Linked DNA regions of Sus scrofa. The protein of the gene in region 3 binds, or shares a complex with, the protein of the main gene of each other region. Links are inferred from orthologs where the notes say so. Each region holds a gene or a part of one and is shown on either strand. Other genes may lie near its edges.

Region 1 (5,909 bases), on a different chromosome or scaffold from region 3:
CAGATGCGGCTTGGATCCAGTGTTGCTGTGGCTCTGGTGTAGGCCAGGGGCTACAGCTCCGATTTGACCCCTAGCCTGGGAACCTCCATATGCCGCGGGAGCGGCCCAAGAAATAGCAAAAAGACAAAAAAAAATACATATATATATATATATATATATATATATATATATGTGTGTGTATATATATATATATATATTTATTTATTTATCATATTATGCTATCCCTCTCAGGGATAGCATAGCCAGGCAGCTAGTTTCCTGGTCCCTGGTCCAGAGGGTGGGCAGGGCTCTCTGCTGGGTGACCTTGGGTCTCCTTGGCATCCTGAGTGACTGTCCCCATTGCCTGCCATCCCCAGGCATTGTCGAGGACTACAGGCCCCCCTTCTATGATGTGGTGCCTAATGATCCCAGCTTTGAGGACATGAAGAAGGTGGTGTGTGTTGACCAGCAGACACCCACCATCCCCAACCGACTGGCTGCAGACCCGGTGAGGCCTCCAGGGGGGCTGGGATGGCATGGGGCGGTGGCCCACAGCTGGGGGTGCTGGGCCCAGGAACTTCTGTCCCGCTTCCACTTCACCTGGAGAGACTGTGGGGGACAGAGTCCAGGCTCCCTCTCTGGGGACCTCATCCTTGCCTGGGGACCTCTGGGGACCCTCTGGTTTTTCCAGGATTTCCAGAACCCTTCACCTGACCTGAAAAGTCAGAGGCTCTCTGTCACCCTTCCAGCTATGCAGTTCTTGTTATTGCTGGTTTGTCTTGTTTTTTTCTCAAAACACTCTACATACTTATATAGGACACACACACATAGAGACACATATAGTCATGCACACTCTTCTGCACAAACACACACTCACACATGCACATATCTGCCAGACTGTCAGCCCATGAAGACAAAGAGCATCTCCTTTGCTGACCTTTCCATCCCGGTTACCTGTCACAGTGCCTGGCACACAATAGGGACTCAAGAAATGTTTATGGAAAGAATGACTCAACATACACATGTATATACAGGTGTGTGTGCGTACGCACAGGCACACTTCTGCACCACATGCGGATCCACAAGAGACCACTCAGATGCATGCCTTTGCACACACACATACACTCCCTCTCAGGAACCAGCTCAAGTTCTGAGGCGGGGGTAAGGCTGAGGACCTCACTCGAGGACCACCGAGCTTCCCGGGTGGGTTCCTCCCTGGAAAGATGCATTTCGAGGGCACCCACCACCCAATCTTCCAGGGTCCACTGGGCCTGCCAGGGTTGGTGGAGGGACGGGGACCTGCTGCCTTCTGCACTGGGGTCCGGCTGCATGCAGATGGGGACATGGAGAGGTCCCCTTTCCTGGTTCTCGGTAGAGGTGGGGGTGGGGCAAGTTGTTTTGTAAACGCCAAAGGGCGTCCCTGAAGATCTGAGTGACCCTCTGCATCCTGCCTGCCTTTCTCCATCCCCTTCTCGTTCCACTCCCTTCCTCTTTCATTTTGCATCTTTCTTTCCTCATCCTGCCTGCTTCCCGCCATTCTCCCTCCTCCCACTTCTGTCTCTCCTCCCCCACCTTCTTTTCGACACACCTGCTTCCCTCCTCTCATCCGTTCTGTCCTGCTGGGGTCTCCGCCCCGTGGGGCATCCTCCTGGCCTCTTCCTTTCCATCCCCCCTGACCCCATGACTCTGCCTCCTCTCCTCTGCTTTGCTCTCCCTCCCCCCACCCCAGGTCCTCTCAGGCCTGGCTCAGATGATGCGGGAGTGCTGGTACCCCAACCCCTCTGCCCGCCTCACTGCGCTGCGGATCAAGAAGACGCTACAGAAACTCAGCAACGGTCTCCAGAAGCCCAAAGGGATTCACTAGCCACGGACCGATGCCTGAACTTCCCTCCACCGGCGGTGTGTGTGGGGTGGGCCAGCGGTGGTGACCTGTTTGGGTAGAGGTTGTGTGAGTGTGTGTGCTGGGGAGGGGGGTGCCTGTCTCTGGGCAGCTGTGCCCGCCCGCCCGCCCGGCTGGCCCCCAGCCCATCCAGCCAAAAATATGGCTAGACTGAAACCCGATCCCCCCGCCGTCTGGCCCTCTGAAGGCAGCAGGCTCACTGACGCCTGGCTCCCTCCCCACCCCCCTGCCCTGGGTGCACCCCCACCCCCACCGCCCCCAGAACAGGATGCAAAAGAGGCTCCAGGGCCAGGGTGGCCAAGCCAGGGAATCCCAGTCCCGGACCCAGAGCCTGGACCTGCACTTTACCCCTTGTCCTCAGTCAACCCCACTGCCCCACCAGAGCTGCCGGGGTGGCACAGGGCCCCGTCCAGCCTCCGGTAGACACCCTGCCCTGCCAGGCCACAGCCTCCTGTCCAAATTCCAGACACCCAGGACCCATCCGTTTTTCTCTGTGGGTTTGTATCTCGGCTCCATGCTGCCTCAGGCCTTTATCTCCTAGCCAAGACCCCCCCACCCCGCCCCAGCTGAATGCTAGCTGCCTAGGAGAGCTGGGGCCTGATCTGGGCCCCTCCCCCACCCCCTCCTTAGCTGACTTATGGCCTTAAACCCAAGGAGTCATGCTTTGGTGTGGCGGAGTCACAGGCCAGGGGAGAGGTGGCAGGTCAGATGGGCAAGGCCCAGGACTTTCAGGGTAAACTGAGAGGACATTGAGGCCAAGCCTGGCCAGGGAAAGGCTCACCTGGGAGTCAGGTCCTAGGTGCTTGCTCTGTGTAACAAGAATGGGGCCGTTATCCCAGGACCTTTGTTCTTTCATCCACCTTTGGAAAGATTTGGTCCTGATATCCTCTGAGGTTTTTCTCGGCTCTAAAGTTCTTTAAAATTGCAGCCTATGTTAGAACTCAGTTCATCAGACCCTTGAATCCTTATGTCCAAACCCCTGGCAGTTGCCTCAAGATGGTGATTTGAGCACAACTTTATCTGAGGCCAGGAGTATCTGAAATCTTCCTAGTCTAATTTTACAAGTTCCGGTTCCTGTCTTAATCCATGCCTGAGGCCCAGGACTCAGACAACCCTGGGCCTTCTGGCAGGCAAGCCAACCCCTCTGTGGCTTCCATTGCTCTGCCCAGGGCTGACAAGAGCTGAGGGCCAGTTCCTGCAGGGCCTCCAAGGCTCAGAAGAAATCTGGGCCCAACCAGCAAGCCTCCAGCACCCAGGTTCTTGCTCCCCACTGGCCCCTGGCCCAGGCCCACACCCTTGGCCAGGCCCCAGAAAGTGGCTGTAGAGAAACACATGGAAAGTTTAGCATTTAGAAAGGTCAAGGGCATATGTCCACGCATGGAGGTGACTCTGAACCCCAAGCGGGTGACTGCGATGGAGGGTGATGGGTAGGAGGTAGGGCCTGCAGGTTGGAGGGTGAGAAGCAGGGCTCAGGCTAAGGACAGAGCAGTCCCACACTTGGAGAGACCTGGCCTTGCAGCCCTCAGCCCGAGACAGGGTGAAGGAAGGACCCTCAGTTCTCCACAGGAGGTGAAGGAAACACAGCCTCCTCCCCTCTTGCTGTAAATGCCCCAGCACAGCCTCCTGGGGCGGCTTCCTGAGTGTCTCTTCCACCGTTGCAGTGGCACTTTCCCAGGCCTGCCTGCCAGCATTGTGCAAGGCCTGGAGGAGAAGCAGGAAGTGAAACTGGCTGAAACAGAAAGCTACATGGACCAGCTAGGTTCCCACATCAACTGGGGGGCAGTTTGCTTCCTGGCAGTTTCATGTCTTCTGGTCCCTGGAACCCACCCAGTCCAGAAATCAGGACCCCCCCCACCCCCTTGAAGGTTTTTACCTCTACTGGATCTGGGGCCAAAAGGTTCCTGAGGCTCCGCAGTCAGCCTGAAGGCAGCAGCTCCCCAAAGGCTAGAAAATCCCTAAGAGGCAGGAGGCCGGGTGATGGGGGAAGGCTGAGAGAAGGGGCTGAAAGTGGGAGAAGAGCTATGGCTCGAAGGGAAGGAGCTGTTGGTGAGAGCCGTCTGTATAATGCTGCTGGCTGAGTTCAGGACCATGTTCCACAGCCGAAATGACAGTCCCTTAACTTGGAGAGACTGTTTGTGGGAGCACTTAGCTTGTGCTTAGCCCCTAGTAGGTCCTCAATAAAGCATGGTTGAATCTGGAGCTCCTGCTGCATCTTCCCAGGCCTGTGTCTCTGCAGGGGCCTCTCACAGAGGGAACTCAAGAGGACAGGGAAGGAGAGAGTCCCAGGGTATCCTGCCTGGGCTTCGTCCTTAAGAACCAAGTCACAGCTGACACTGGCCCCTGCTTGGATCTCAGTTCCCACCAGCCCGAATCTCAGTTCCTACCACCGGCTGGGAGCCGCCAGCTCGCGGCGCCTCCGCATCGCCCTCTGCTGGCCGGGAGGCTGCCGAGCGGCCGCCTTCTGCTCCGCCCCCGCGTGGGAACCGCAGGCCTTTCCCCGCGGGGATCTCCTCGCGCCGCTGCCCGGCCTCCCCCGTGGTTCTGTTTTGTGGGCAGTGTCCCCCGAAAACCACATCTAGAAAGGAGCTGCGATCTCACTCCGAGGCAGCTTGGACCCGCCCACCTCAATTCCCGGTTCTCCATTCTCTCCTTAAAATGGGACCCCTCTCTGGAACTCAGTCCTCATTCCCCAAACGGGAAGGCGGTCACCACCCTCAGGGACCCACCTTGGCCTCCTGGATGGGCTCGGAAAGCACCTCCCCCGCTTCCCCTGGAAACCTGCGGCGGGGACACGCCAGGGAGGAGGCAGGTGCTGAAAGAAGCCAAGACGGGTCTTTTCCATTTGACTGCCTATGCCTTTGCAGTAGAGGCCCCCTTAGGGAGCTACAGAAAGGGTCCCCCAATTCGTTTTACCGCGAAGGACCTCCCCCCCCTCCCAACAGCCCCCAAGGCGCTCTCATGCCTGGAGCCTGCTACCCACTTCCCAAGCCTATGTCCATGGACCCTCACACAGACCGTGCCCTTCACAGAAGACCTCTTAACACCAGCTCCGGGGAAGTAGCGAGCCTGGCATCCCTCAATGACGACTTTCTCCCTCCTCCTGTGTCTGCCAGACCCTGGTCTGGTCTTTCCATCTCCATCCTGATGTCCACCCTTTGGTTGGAGTGTGGGCAGAAGGGCAGTAGGAATATTGCGGAAAAGGAATCTCAAGGCTGGCTGGGGTCTGGGAAAGGAGCATTGGGCTTCTTGCCCTCCAGGGTTAGAACAGTCTGCAGAGGTCACCGTGTCCCAGCCCCTCCCTCCATGTAGAGCCTCAGGGAAACTGCCTGCCTTTGAAAAAAGAAAACCCATCAACTTTTTCACAGCTTTGTCCTGCCCTCCTGGGGACCCCAGGCTCCAGTTTCCTTACCTGGAAACTATGTTGTAAGGAGTTTCCCCGAGGGATGACAAGTGTCTATAACACGCCCAAATGGGAGTAAGGGTGGTTCCCGGAGCATCAGTTTTGATGCTAAGGCACTCGCCTTCCCCTCCCAAGCCCTGGTGGTACCCAATTCTATTCTCCCAGTCACCATTCTCCCTCATCTGTCCTGGAAAGGGATGGCCCTTCTGCCTCCAAAGCCTCACTCGCATCAATATTAGCAGACTGAGGGATGGCAAATCCCCACGCCTAAAACACCCAACCATGGCGGAGAGCTGGGGAGGGGGGGCACACGTCCAGTCTCCCAGGGCGGGGACGGATGCTGACTATGCAGCCGTCACTCTGGGTGGGCGACTCTTGGAACGAGCTGTTTCCACCAGGGCCACATTCAGTTTGCTAGAAATAGAGACAGAGGGCTTCTTGACTTTGCATATGATTTGCATAATGCCATAGACACACGGTCTATTTTCAGGCAGTTTTCAGGTTAAAGTGTTGTCACTGCTGCCCTGCGGGGTGTCACGTCTGGATGAGTCTCTTCTCTGTTCTTTCTCACCCACCCACTCTTACTGACCTAGATCCCCCACGGCAGGAGCAAATGGTGAGGTGGGGGGC
Region 2 (4,619 bases), on a different chromosome or scaffold from region 3:
TAGGATTTACTCTGTTAACTTTCATATATAACATACAGCAGTGTTAATTAAATTTGTCATGTACATTACATCCCTAGTACTCATTTATTTTGTAACTGGAGGTTTGTACCTTTTGACTGCATTCATCCAGTTCTCCTTATCCCCACTCTCTGCTGCTAGTAACCTTATCCCCACTGTCTGCTGCTAGTAACCACAAATCTGATCTCTTTTTCTATGAGTTTGTTTGTTTGGTTTTGAAGTACAGTTGACCTGTAACTCTGTGTTAGTTCCTGTTACACAACATAGTGATTTGGTATTTCTATACATTTCAAAAATTATCACCAGTATGAGTCTAGTTACGGTATATCATCCTACAAAGATATTACATAGTTATTTACTCTGTTCCTTAGAGTGTGTATGTCATCATGACTCATGTATTCTGCAACTGGAATTTTATACCTCTTAACATTTCTCACTTATTTCCTCCCTTCCCTGACCCCCTCTTCTCTGGCAAATACCTGTTTGTTCTCTGTATCTGTAATTCTGTTTGTTTAGTTTTATTTGGTTTGGTTTTCAGATTCCACATACAAGTGAAATCATATGGTATTTGTCTTTCTCTGTCTGACTTATTTCACTTAGCATAATACATTCTAGATCCATCCATGTCACAGATGGAAAGATTTCATTCTTTTTTATGGCTGATATTCTGTTGGGCATATACCACATTTTTGTCTATTTATCTATCAGTGGGTACTTGGGTTTTTTCCATATCTTGGCCTGGCTTTTTTTTTTTAAAGCAAATATGTTATAGTGTGATGTTTAAGAACCACCATTCTCAAGATGTGACAATAACAGGGAAGAACCTTTGATAACTGGAGAGCAGTTCTATATCTTTGATTTATTTATTTATTTATTTTTTTATTTTGAGTGTCACATTCTGCCTTATACCCTAAGGCTCTAAGACTTTCATTGATAATGGTTCGGTCTACCTTAGGAAGATAAGTTCCTTTGCTAGACTATGCGTCTTAATGTAGCACTTTGAAACAACCTAAAAGATTATGTTCTTTTTACTATTTGGAACTTAGTTGGTAACATATTTGTTGAGTAGCAGTTGTATATTTAGAATTATGGAAATGTAAAAGACACACGCCTTGTTTCCTTCTCTCATGGAACTTTTTTTTTTTTTTTTTTTGCCTCTTCAGGGCCGCAACCTACGGCATATGGAGGTTCCCAGGCTAGGGGCCTAATGGGAGCTGTAGCTGCCAGCCACAGCCATAGCCACAACAACGCAGGATCTGAGCCGCATCTGCGATCTGCACCACAGCTCACAGCAACGCCGGGTCCTTAACCCACTGAGCGAGGCCAGGGATCGAACCCGCAACCTCATGGTTCCTAGTTGAATTCGTCAACCATTGAACCACAATGGGAACTCCTCTCATGGAACTTTTATGTCTGTTGTGCAAGTATTCAATTCATAAAGGTATATTTGCTAATGTTACAAAACTATAGGGGAGTTTTTTTAAATAACTTTTATAAGCCTAAAGAATAAGTATATATATAAATCATGTCTAGATCCATATAGGCTTTTTGGTAGGCTTAAATCATACAAAACTAGCCTTTAGCAAGGTATTAAATGACATTTGATTGTTTGATTAGAATTATTAAATAACCTTTAGAATAATGTGGGTTAGGAATAAAATTAAAAGCAAATTATTCTTTAAAATCAGAGGTGTTAAACTCTGAGAGTCAGTTTGTCATAAATGTACATTCTCAACATGGCACTTTTTTCTTTCTTTAAGCAACCTATCCCACAACAGGCGTGTGCCAAAGATTGGCCCTTATCCAGATTATTCTTCTTCCTCATACATTGAAGACTCGATCCATCACACTGACAGCATTGTGAAGAATATCTCCTCTGAGCATTCAATGTCCAGCACACCTTTGACTTTAGGGGAAAAGAACCGAAATTCAATTAACTATGAACGGCAGCAAGCACAAGCTCGAATCCCCAGCCCTGAAACAAGTGTCACCAGCTTGTCTACCAACACTACAACCACAAACACCACTGGCCTCACTCCAAGCACCGGCATGACCACTATATCTGAGATGCCATACTCAGATGAAGCAAATCTGCATGCCACAAATGTCTCACAGCCAATCGGGCCAACCCCCGTCTGCTTACAACTGACAGAAGAAGACTTGGAGACCAACAAGCTGGACCCAAAAGAAGTTGATAAAAACCTCAAAGAAAGTTCTGATGAGAATCTCATGGAACATTCTCTTAAACAGTTTAGTGGGCCAGATCCCCTGAGCAGTACCAGTTCTAGCTTGCTTTACCCACTCATAAAGCTTGCAGTAGAAGTGACAGGACAGCAGGACTTCGCACAGGCTGCAAATGGCCAAGCATGTTTAATTCCTGATGTCCCACCCGCTCAGATCTATCCTCTCCCCAAGCAACAGAACCTTCCTAAGAGACCTACTAGTTTGCCTTTGAACACCAAAAATTCAACAAAGGAGCCCCGGCTGAAATTTGGCAGCAAGCACAAATCAAACTTGAAACAAGTAGAAACTGGAGTTGCCAAGATGAATACAATCAATGCTGCAGAACCTCATGTGGTGACGGTCACCATGAATGGTGTGGCAGGTAGAAACCACAGCATTAACTCTCATGCTGCCACTACCCAGTATGTCAATGGGGTAGTTCCGTCTGGCCAGACAGCCAACACAGTGGCACATAGAACCCAAGAAATGCTGCAGAATCAATTCATTGGTGAGGACACCCGGCTGAATATTAATTCCAGTCCTGATGAGCATGAACCATTACTGAGACGAGAGCAACAGGCTGGCCATGATGAAGGTGTTCTGGATCGTCTGGTGGACAGGAGGGAACGACCACTGGAAGGCGGCCGAACTAATTCCAATAACAACAACAGCAATCCATGTTCAGAGCAAGAAGGTCTTACACAGGGTGTTCCAAGCACAGTAGCAGACCCTGCACCGTCAAAGCCCAGAAGAGCACAGAGGCCTAATTCTCTGGATCTTTCAGCCACAAATGTCCTTGATGGCAGCAGTTTGCAGTGTAAGTGGAGGGATTGTGTAATCTTTTGGGACCATTTAAGTAACTACTTAGTTAGAAACAGATTATGTTTCAACTAGCAATTATTTTATATTACTTTTCAAAATAAAATAAGCCATTTGGGAGTTCTCATTGTGGCCCAGCAGGTTTCAATCCTGACTAGTATGCAGGGATGCAGGTTTGATCCTTGGCCTTGCTCAGTGGGTTATGGATCCGGCCTTGCCATGAGCTATAGTGTAGGTTGCCGGTATGGCTCAGATCTGGTGTTGCTGTGGCTGCGGCATAGGCCAGTAGCTGCAGCTCTGATTTGACTCTTAGCCTAGGAACTTCCATATACTGCAGTGCAGCCCTGAAAGAAGCAAAAAATAAAATAAGCCATTTGGTTGGACTTCAGAAGTAATTAAAATGTTGTATAAAACAAATAATTTTGTTGTTTATAATTTAAAAGATAATGTCACAATAATTGGAATAGTTAGCAATTTGTCTTATGTAACTGCTGGTTTGTAATGCAACTCACATACTTACTATGAATAGTTGAGATAAAGTACTGACCAGTTTAAACAATCCAAGTAAGATGATGCCAGTATCACTTTTGAAACTTTGTTGAGCATATTAGTATTTATTAAAAAGTCCATAGAAAATTCAGAAAAGTCAATATAAAGAAACCATAGGAGTTCCAGTTTGTGGCACAGCAGAAATGAATCTGACTAGTATCCTATGAGGACACAGGTTTGATCCCTGACCTGGCTCAGTGGGTTAAGGATCTGGCGTTGTCCTGAGCTGTGGTGTAGGTCTCAGATGCAGCTCAGATTCTGCGTTGGTGTGGCTATGGTATAGGCCAGCAGCAGTAGCTCCAATTGGACCCCTGGCCTGGGGACTCCATATGCCTTAGGTGCAGCTCTAAAAAAAAATAAATAAAACAAGAAACTATAAAGTTCTTCATGGTTTTTAATGTCATTTTTTTTTTTTAGGAGTTATATGCTGAGTCTCCCATGTGCCTATAGCATTGTGCTGTGGGGCCTCTAGCAACTTGATACTTGGTTTATGGCCCTAGAAGGATTATAATGCAATATAGAAGAGCTCACCAAAATCTTTAACAGTCATCATTATACAAAATGACTTCTCCGAGTTCCCGTCGTGGCTCAGTGGAAACAAACCCGACTACTATCCATGAGGATATGGGTTCAATCCCTGGCCTTACTCGGTGGGTTAAAGGATCTGGAGTTGCTGTGAGCTGTGGTATAGGCTGGCAGCTGCAGCTCCAATTCAGCCCCTAGTCTGGGAACTTCCATATTTTGTGAGTGCGGCCCTAAAAAAAAAAAAGATTGTTTAGACTGATAGCACTTATAAAAAAAAAAAAAGAAAGAAAAAACAAAGACTACGAAATGGGCTGAAGGGATTCGGCTGTCATAAATCAGTAGCCCCTTGCTTGAATGGCTTGTATTATAGAAATGTTGACATACCTTATGGCAAGGTTCCATATTAGTAAAAATGTCTTGTGACACATGGGAAGGGTAAGTTACTAGAAAATTTGTACCCCATTGTTTATGTCATTATTCTGAAA
Region 3 (6,502 bases):
TGCTTCCTCTTTTAGACTTGTCCTAGGTAACAGTATTCACGAAATGAGGGGTTGGGGTGAGAGTTACGTCAATTCTTTTTTAATCCACATTAACAAAAATATGTAATGATTTCACACGATTGAGTTTCCTCTGGGTACCACTTAAAATCATCTCATATGCTGTCAATGGGGAATACTGGTCAATGGAATGAATTTGAACTCCCTAGCATGGCTCTCAAAACTAGCTCTAACCAGGTCTTCACCTCCTGATCCCATTCATCCCCTACAGCATGGAACACTGCAATTGATCAATTAATATTTGTTGAAAGATTAAACAAATCTTTTAAGCAAAGATTAAACAAAGTCTCCTTTAGAGTAGACTGATACGTTCACCACTTCACCAAAACATTTGTCTTCTTTAGTGTATATTGTACCTTTGGATCTGTTCTTCTGACCCTTGGAAAGCTCTATCCCCTCATCTCCATTTATCCAGCTGTGACCACTCCCTGTGGGACCTCCCTTCCTCACCTCCCTACCTGGATGTTCACTCCCACCTGGGTAATTTGATTATTTACTCTCTATATCTCTCCTGTGACTTCGCCATTTATGTCCCTGTTTTTCAGTTGTCTTTATGAGTGGAAATCTTTCCAACTAGATTGTCATCATAATGATAGATACTACAGCTTAAACTCCCCTCCACACCTCTAATCTACCACGATGCTTTAAACAGAGGTAGCACCTTAAAAATATTGATTCAGTGATGATTCTGGGCATCAGACCAAATTAGTTTACAGGAATGACATTTGTCCTTATTACATCAAGTAATTGGGTGGTTGTCCCCTCTTATAGGAATGGAGGAAACCTGACACCCCTTGGATAGGACATGTGAGAGGACCAAAAATAGGGGAGTAGACTAGTTGTTCCATTAACTAGAACAATGCAGAGTAAAAGCTCGCTGTAGTGGGAGGAAGGGATTGCTAAGGAGACAAGGAAACTTTTGGTGGTGATGAATATGCTCACTCTTGGTTGTGATGATGGCTCCAATGGATGCTTACATTGGTCAAAACCTATCAACTTCTACACTTTAAATATGTGAAGTTCATTGAATGTCAATTATACTTCAATAAAGCTGATAAAGTAAATTCAGTGTTCATGTGCAAATACAATACTAGAGGGAGGCATTACATTTCAGGTTAAGGAACTAATATTTGTTGAGCAAATGCCCTGTGCCGGGTGCTTTGCAAATTGTTTCATTTAGCTCTTACAATGAGCCTATAATGCATACATTGCTACTATGTTCATGTTATTCTGGAAGAAATCAAGCCTCAATGCAGAGAACTGATTTCCCCAAGATGACAAGGTGAAATCAAAGCAGTGGTAGGAAATGAAATAGCATATTTTTCACCTTGGAAGCAGCGCTCCTTTTCCTCTGATTAGTTAGATTTGGAGGAGGTTTTGTTCCGTGTTGCTGTCTCTTAGGGAGCTGCACTGAGTCAACGCAAAGAATCAAAGAGAGACAATGTCAGCCAGCAGGATGCATGACCTCGGGCATTTTCACCCATGGATTCTGGCAGAGGTGCGGGCAGCTGGCTTGTCCCCTAAGAAGTTTGCCCTGTCCTCACTGATCATGAGAAATAAGAAGCTCTGAAAACTCCTCTTCCTGACCTGGACCATCCAAATCCTCCATAGGAGAAATGAGAACGGAAAAGCTCCTATTTTCCCCTGGGGATGTGAACATCTTCCCATCCACACCCTGATTCAGCCACCCAGGGCTCAGCATCCAAAACATCCCAGGGAGAAGGCTGATTTTCAATTCAGACTGACTCCAAAAGGAATCGGTAACTTCAGCTGGTCATTCCCATTATGTTACTAAATGTTCCTAAGTAATATTTCCAATATGTTCCTGAATATGTAACATTTTGGCAGCCACCTGAATTTTAAAGGCAAATAGTTATCCCCAGGACTGGCTAATGCCTGTTTAACATTTCCTCCAATACCTAGAATTTAAGGAATTCATTAATGGTCGCTAGCGCGTGTTCAACACTTCATAGTAAATTGAGTGTTTTCTTACTCATAACCTCTTTGAAATCACTCAACTCTGTTATGTAGGAATATTATCCCTAATTTACAGATGAAGAAATAGAGGTTCAGGGAAATTAAGCTAATTATCCACATTGACAAAGTCAGGCCTGTCTCAAAAATCCAAATCCTGTACTGTTGTTTTGCCACTGCCTTTTTTGCTTTCAAGAACATTTGGCCAACATCTACTCAAACCCCCTTTTGCACCTGGTCAATGACTATAAAAGCATAATTGGTAACTATGAAGAATTGCTTTCTTTGGACCCACCACCCATATTGGAATCGAGTATTCGATATTAGCCACAAAAATCTTGACTACTTGCATCCTATTAAACAAAGAATTACCTTGCTAGATCCTTAGATTTAGGACTTCATAAGGATCTAGGGAGGGGAAGAAAACACATTTTTCCCACTGATATCTAAGCTTGTGCTTTGCTCTTTGTAAGGACACAGAATAAGCCGGATCATTAATTGGGCCTTGCACACTTCCCGGAAACTATACACAGGGCTTCAAGGATACACACGTCACATCAAAGAAACAGAACTTTAGGAAGAATCTCGAAAACATACGTTTCCATTCTGTTTGAACACGTCTTACATCAGGTCCCAGAATGGAAACTCACCCAAAGGTTGAGGGAAACACAAACGGCCACTTTCTGTATTTTGTCTACTTTCATCATTTTCAGAAGCTGACAAATACTGTGGTCAATTAAAAGCCAAATGGAACTGAGGCCTATCTGGGAAAAGGGCAGAAGTATGGTGGTAGACTAACATTAACATCTTTTATGACCTGCCGTCCAAATTGAAAAATTTTAAAGGCCCAATGATGAGGTCAAAATGGCAGACACCCTACAACTCTGGATCAAAAGATATTCTTTAATCCCTTTTAATGCCATTTGGAAAATGAAGACGTTACAGAACACACTGTGCATTGTTTCTGTGTGTCTGTGTCCACACACACCCCTATACAGACGTTTTCACTCTTATCTGTATCCCTCCCTTGCATGGTCCATTTACCTAGTGCTTCTGAAAATGCAAAGCCAGATTTCATCAGTAAAACGTCAACCTACCTTCATTCTTGAAACTCCTAATGATGTTGGCAGAGGGCATGGAGGTCCGATCTGTGGCAAATTTATTGTAGAGTTCCAGCATGTACTCGGGGGGGTCGACCTTGGCTGAGTCCTGCATCGGGATGTCAGACAGGTTCAATGTCTTGAGAAACTCGTTCTTCATGCTCTGGAGCAGGCTGTTGAAGTCGACACCATCTTGCTCCGAGAAGACATCGTCAAAGAGTGGCATATCTTCTTCCAGAGGCGACTGCTCCAGGCTCATGATGGGGCTGCCAGAAACCCAGGGAGCCACCAGGCAGGAGAGCGCGCACAGCTGTAGGGCCAGGAAACCCATAGCTCTGCTCGAGCCCCCAGGCCAGCCCAGGAAGGTTTAGCGCTCCTGGGCTCTAAGTGGCAGTTTTATCTTGCAGAGCATAAATGTCTCCTGTCACTGGAGACAAGTTTGGAAACTTCCCTTCTCTCTCCCTCCCCCCGCCACTCTTCCCACACACACCCCCCAACACCAAAAGTCAGGTTGCAGTAATTGGATAACAAAATCCCCCATAGGGGCCTAGCCTTTCTTATCTCCCTAGTGTAAACTTGTGCACCAGATTTTGTTTCTATCTTGCAATCCTTTTTTCTTTTAATGAGCATTTTGTAAACATTTCCACATTCTGACACTGGCTGAGAGATAGGACAGTTTTCTTCTTGCAAAGGCTCTGCTTCTCCTCCTTTGAATCCACTTCCTTTTGGCAGAAGCACCTACATTTTGCTTTTACATGGTTCAGTGTCACACATGCAGATAATAGATATTAAGAATCGACATAATGCACATGGGTGGCGATACGGTTTAATGCAAGTGAGGGGCCTTTCATTCTCACATAAATCTCTCCGAAGAAAGACCAAATCTCCAGCGTTTTCAAGTTAAGTTAATAGATACAAATGAACTTACAGAAATCTTTAACCGCTGACATTATTAGAAAGAAGAGAGTAAAAACTTTGTCATCAATAGCCTTTTTTGTACAGACTTGATCTGGCTAAAATGGCTTTTGAAAAATAGGGCAAGTGCTTCATTATTACAGCAGCTAAGATTTATTAGGTGCTTTCCTACGAACAGGCAATGTGCTAAGTACTTTGTATATATCGCCAAATGTGCTTCCTATAATGACACTATTATTATCCCCATGGCATACATCGGTCACTAAGTTTCAATATGTTGCCAGAGGTCACAAAGTGACAAAGTGATGGAGCCAGGATTTGAATCCAGGCAGTCTGACACTTATGAAACAAGAAAACAATCAGACCTTTGCTTTTTTTAGGGCCGTACTTGCGGCATATGGAAGTTCCCAGGCTAAGGGTCGAATCAGAGCTGCAGCTGCCGGCCTACAGCACAGCCACAGCAATGTGGGATCCAAGGCTTGTCTGTGAGCTACACTGCAGCTTGTGGCTACACCAGATCCTTAACCAACTGAGCAAGGCCAGGGATCAAACCTGCATCCTCCTGGATACTAGGTGGGTTCATAAGCTGCGGAGCCACAGTGGGAACTCCCAGCAATCAGACCTTTTAACCAGTGTTCCCTGGGCTATAGCTCCAGCCCAGCCTTTTGCCCGGGCACCCACAGTTAGGAGAAGACAGGCAATAGCGTGTGGCTGGATGTGGACCTCAGGTCCTTCACTGGAATGACGAATTATTAAGATCACCAAAATCTCTGCTAAAGCCATCTTTACGGTTAAATCAAATTCATCACATGGCTTCAGTGAAAGCTTGGCAAACAACATATTAGGCAGGTGAAAAAGGCCAAAAGCTTTGATCTGAAAAACAGTGGTGGAATTGTGTGTCTGGTGCAGGGAAAGACACACCAAGGTCATCTCACTTTTCAACCCTCATTAGTGGCTGTAGCCTCAGAGTGTGTCAGGATGGTCCTGTGGACAACTTCGGGGGCTGTTTCTCCCGCTGAGCCTCTGGGCCTGGTGTCTCCCTGACTTGTTTAGTGCATATGCCCTTGTGCTGTGCTCAGAGGGCTGTGAGCTATATATTTGGTGCACCTGAATATTCTTTTAGTTTCTCAGTTAAGTTTTCCTACATTTACCCCAATAGGATAACTACAGCAACTCCATTTTCCTTTTTTGTCTTCTATACTCCCTAAGGTTTATAGTCATCTTCTGATTCTTCCTTCTCCTAAAATGCACATTTTTATAGCAATTTTTTGAACTACCAGAAATAGGGCTGTATTTTCTTACAATTTTGTTGGAGTATAGTTGACTTACAGTGGTGTCTTAGTTTCAGGTGTATGACAAATTGAATCAGCTTTATATATATATATATATATTTTATTTTATTCTGATTTAGGTTATTTTTTTCATTTTTTTCTCATATAGGTTATTACAGAATATTAAGTAGATTTCTCTGTGCTTTACAGCAGGCCCTTGACCGTTATCTATTCTATATTTTGGGGGGAGGAAATCCCTCCACAAAATCGTTCATTTACTTAATCGTTGTTGATTTGAGTCAGTGCTCTATTTCAGGGAAAGCTTCTGTTCCTTTGTTAAAAAGATGATTGCAGAGTTCCCTTGTGGCACAGCAGGTCAAGGATGCAGTGTTGTCACTGTAGTGACTCAGGTCTCTGCTTTGACTCAGGTTCGATCCCTGGCCCAGGGAACTTCCACATGCTGAAGGCGCAGCCAAAAAAAGAAAGAAAAGAAAAAAGAAAATTGTAGGCTGAAAACAGCTTATACCCTGAACAGGTCTTCAAGCGAGCGAGTCCAGGGCCATAACCCATCCTATGGGCTTTACCGTGAGGTTCCTGACAGCGTAATAGCAGGGCCCTTGTGTCATGCCCTGCATCAAAACAAGCACCCGTTTATCTTTACAAACACACACACCGATGTCAATGCACACTCCAAATCTCTGAATGGCAGGCATGTGCGTGTAACTGCCACAGGACAGCTGAATAAGTGATGGTACTTATAACCCGTGTGCACTGGTTTCAGAGGTCAGGCAGAGAGTCGGGCATCCTGCCTTTCGGAGTTCTGGTTCTGTACATTCTCAGGGGTGAGACGATCAATTGAGATTTCACTTACTCAGTGCTAGAGTAGCAATGGAGTTAAATATTCAGACCAGTGACCCTATCCCAAATGTTTATCTTTTGGGCTGACTTAAAGATAGAATAGGAAAATGTCTGTAACCACATCTCAATGCCTATGACTCCTTGAAATGCAAGGTCCTTAAATTTCTCACCTGTGCTGGGTGGACAAGGCAGGAGATTGGGCTTCAGGCACGAAGGAAGGGGACACAACTTCCTCGCTCTTGGGGCTGGGGAATCCTTTACATTTTAGCTGCAGGGTTTCTTTATCCCCAGGATTTTCTCTAGCTTTTCCTGATGACTTTCCTCTGA

What was found.
Region 1: the proteins of BMP10 (region 3) and ACVRL1 are in contact, whole or in part, in a crystal structure (PDB 6SF1), measured with the Homo sapiens proteins. The link is inferred for Sus scrofa from reciprocal best matches to the Homo sapiens genes BMP10 and ACVRL1. Residues at the interface, in NP_055297.1 of Homo sapiens: Tyr322, Asn357, Tyr358, Pro359, Ala361, Glu362, His363, Pro366, Thr367, Lys368, Ile371, Leu375, Leu378, Lys379, Ser381, Lys386; in NP_000011.2 of Homo sapiens: His40, Val54, Val56, Arg57, Glu58, Glu59, His66, Gly70, Asn71, Leu72, His73, Glu75, Leu76, Phe84, Val85, His87.
Region 2: the proteins of BMP10 (region 3) and BMPR2 are in contact, whole or in part, in a crystal structure (PDB 7PPA), measured with the Homo sapiens proteins. The link is inferred for Sus scrofa from reciprocal best matches to the Homo sapiens genes BMP10 and BMPR2. Residues at the interface, in NP_055297.1 of Homo sapiens: Tyr329, Lys333, Asp338, Ser339, Trp340, Ile342, Ala343, Pro344, Pro345, Gly346, Tyr347, Glu348, Glu395, Pro396, Ile397, Ser398, Ile399, Leu400, Leu402, Val407, Tyr409, Phe411, Ala417; in NP_001195.2 of Homo sapiens: Asp38, Ser64, Tyr67, Leu69, Lys81, Cys84, Trp85, Ser86, Ile88, Gly89, Asp90, Pro91, Gln92, Glu93, Thr103, Thr104, Pro105, Pro106, Ile108, Tyr113, Phe115.

The regions. Positions count from the first base shown.
Region 1 is NC_010447.5:17,280,078-17,285,986, forward strand, and holds the end of ACVRL1 (serine/threonine-protein kinase receptor R3), read left to right. Parts: intron 1-356; coding exon 357-487; intron 488-1,708; coding exon 1,709-1,843; 3' UTR 1,844-4,078; downstream 4,079-5,909. UniProt on the Homo sapiens protein: Type I receptor for TGF-beta family ligands BMP9/GDF2 and BMP10 and important regulator of normal blood vessel development. On ligand binding, forms a receptor complex consisting of two type II and two type I transmembrane serine/threonine kinases.
Region 2 is NC_010457.5:106,126,966-106,131,584, forward strand, and holds part of BMPR2 (bone morphogenetic protein receptor type-2 precursor), read left to right. Parts: intron 1-1,778; coding exon 1,779-3,058; intron 3,059-4,619. UniProt on the Homo sapiens protein: On ligand binding, forms a receptor complex consisting of two type II and two type I transmembrane serine/threonine kinases.
Region 3 is NC_010445.4:73,516,948-73,523,449, reverse strand, and holds the start of BMP10 (bone morphogenetic protein 10), read right to left. Parts: upstream 3,547-6,502; 5' UTR 3,463-3,546; coding exon 3,129-3,462; intron 1-3,128. UniProt on the Homo sapiens protein: Required for maintaining the proliferative activity of embryonic cardiomyocytes by preventing premature activation of the negative cell cycle regulator CDKN1C/p57KIP and maintaining the required expression levels of cardiogenic factors such as MEF2C and NKX2-5.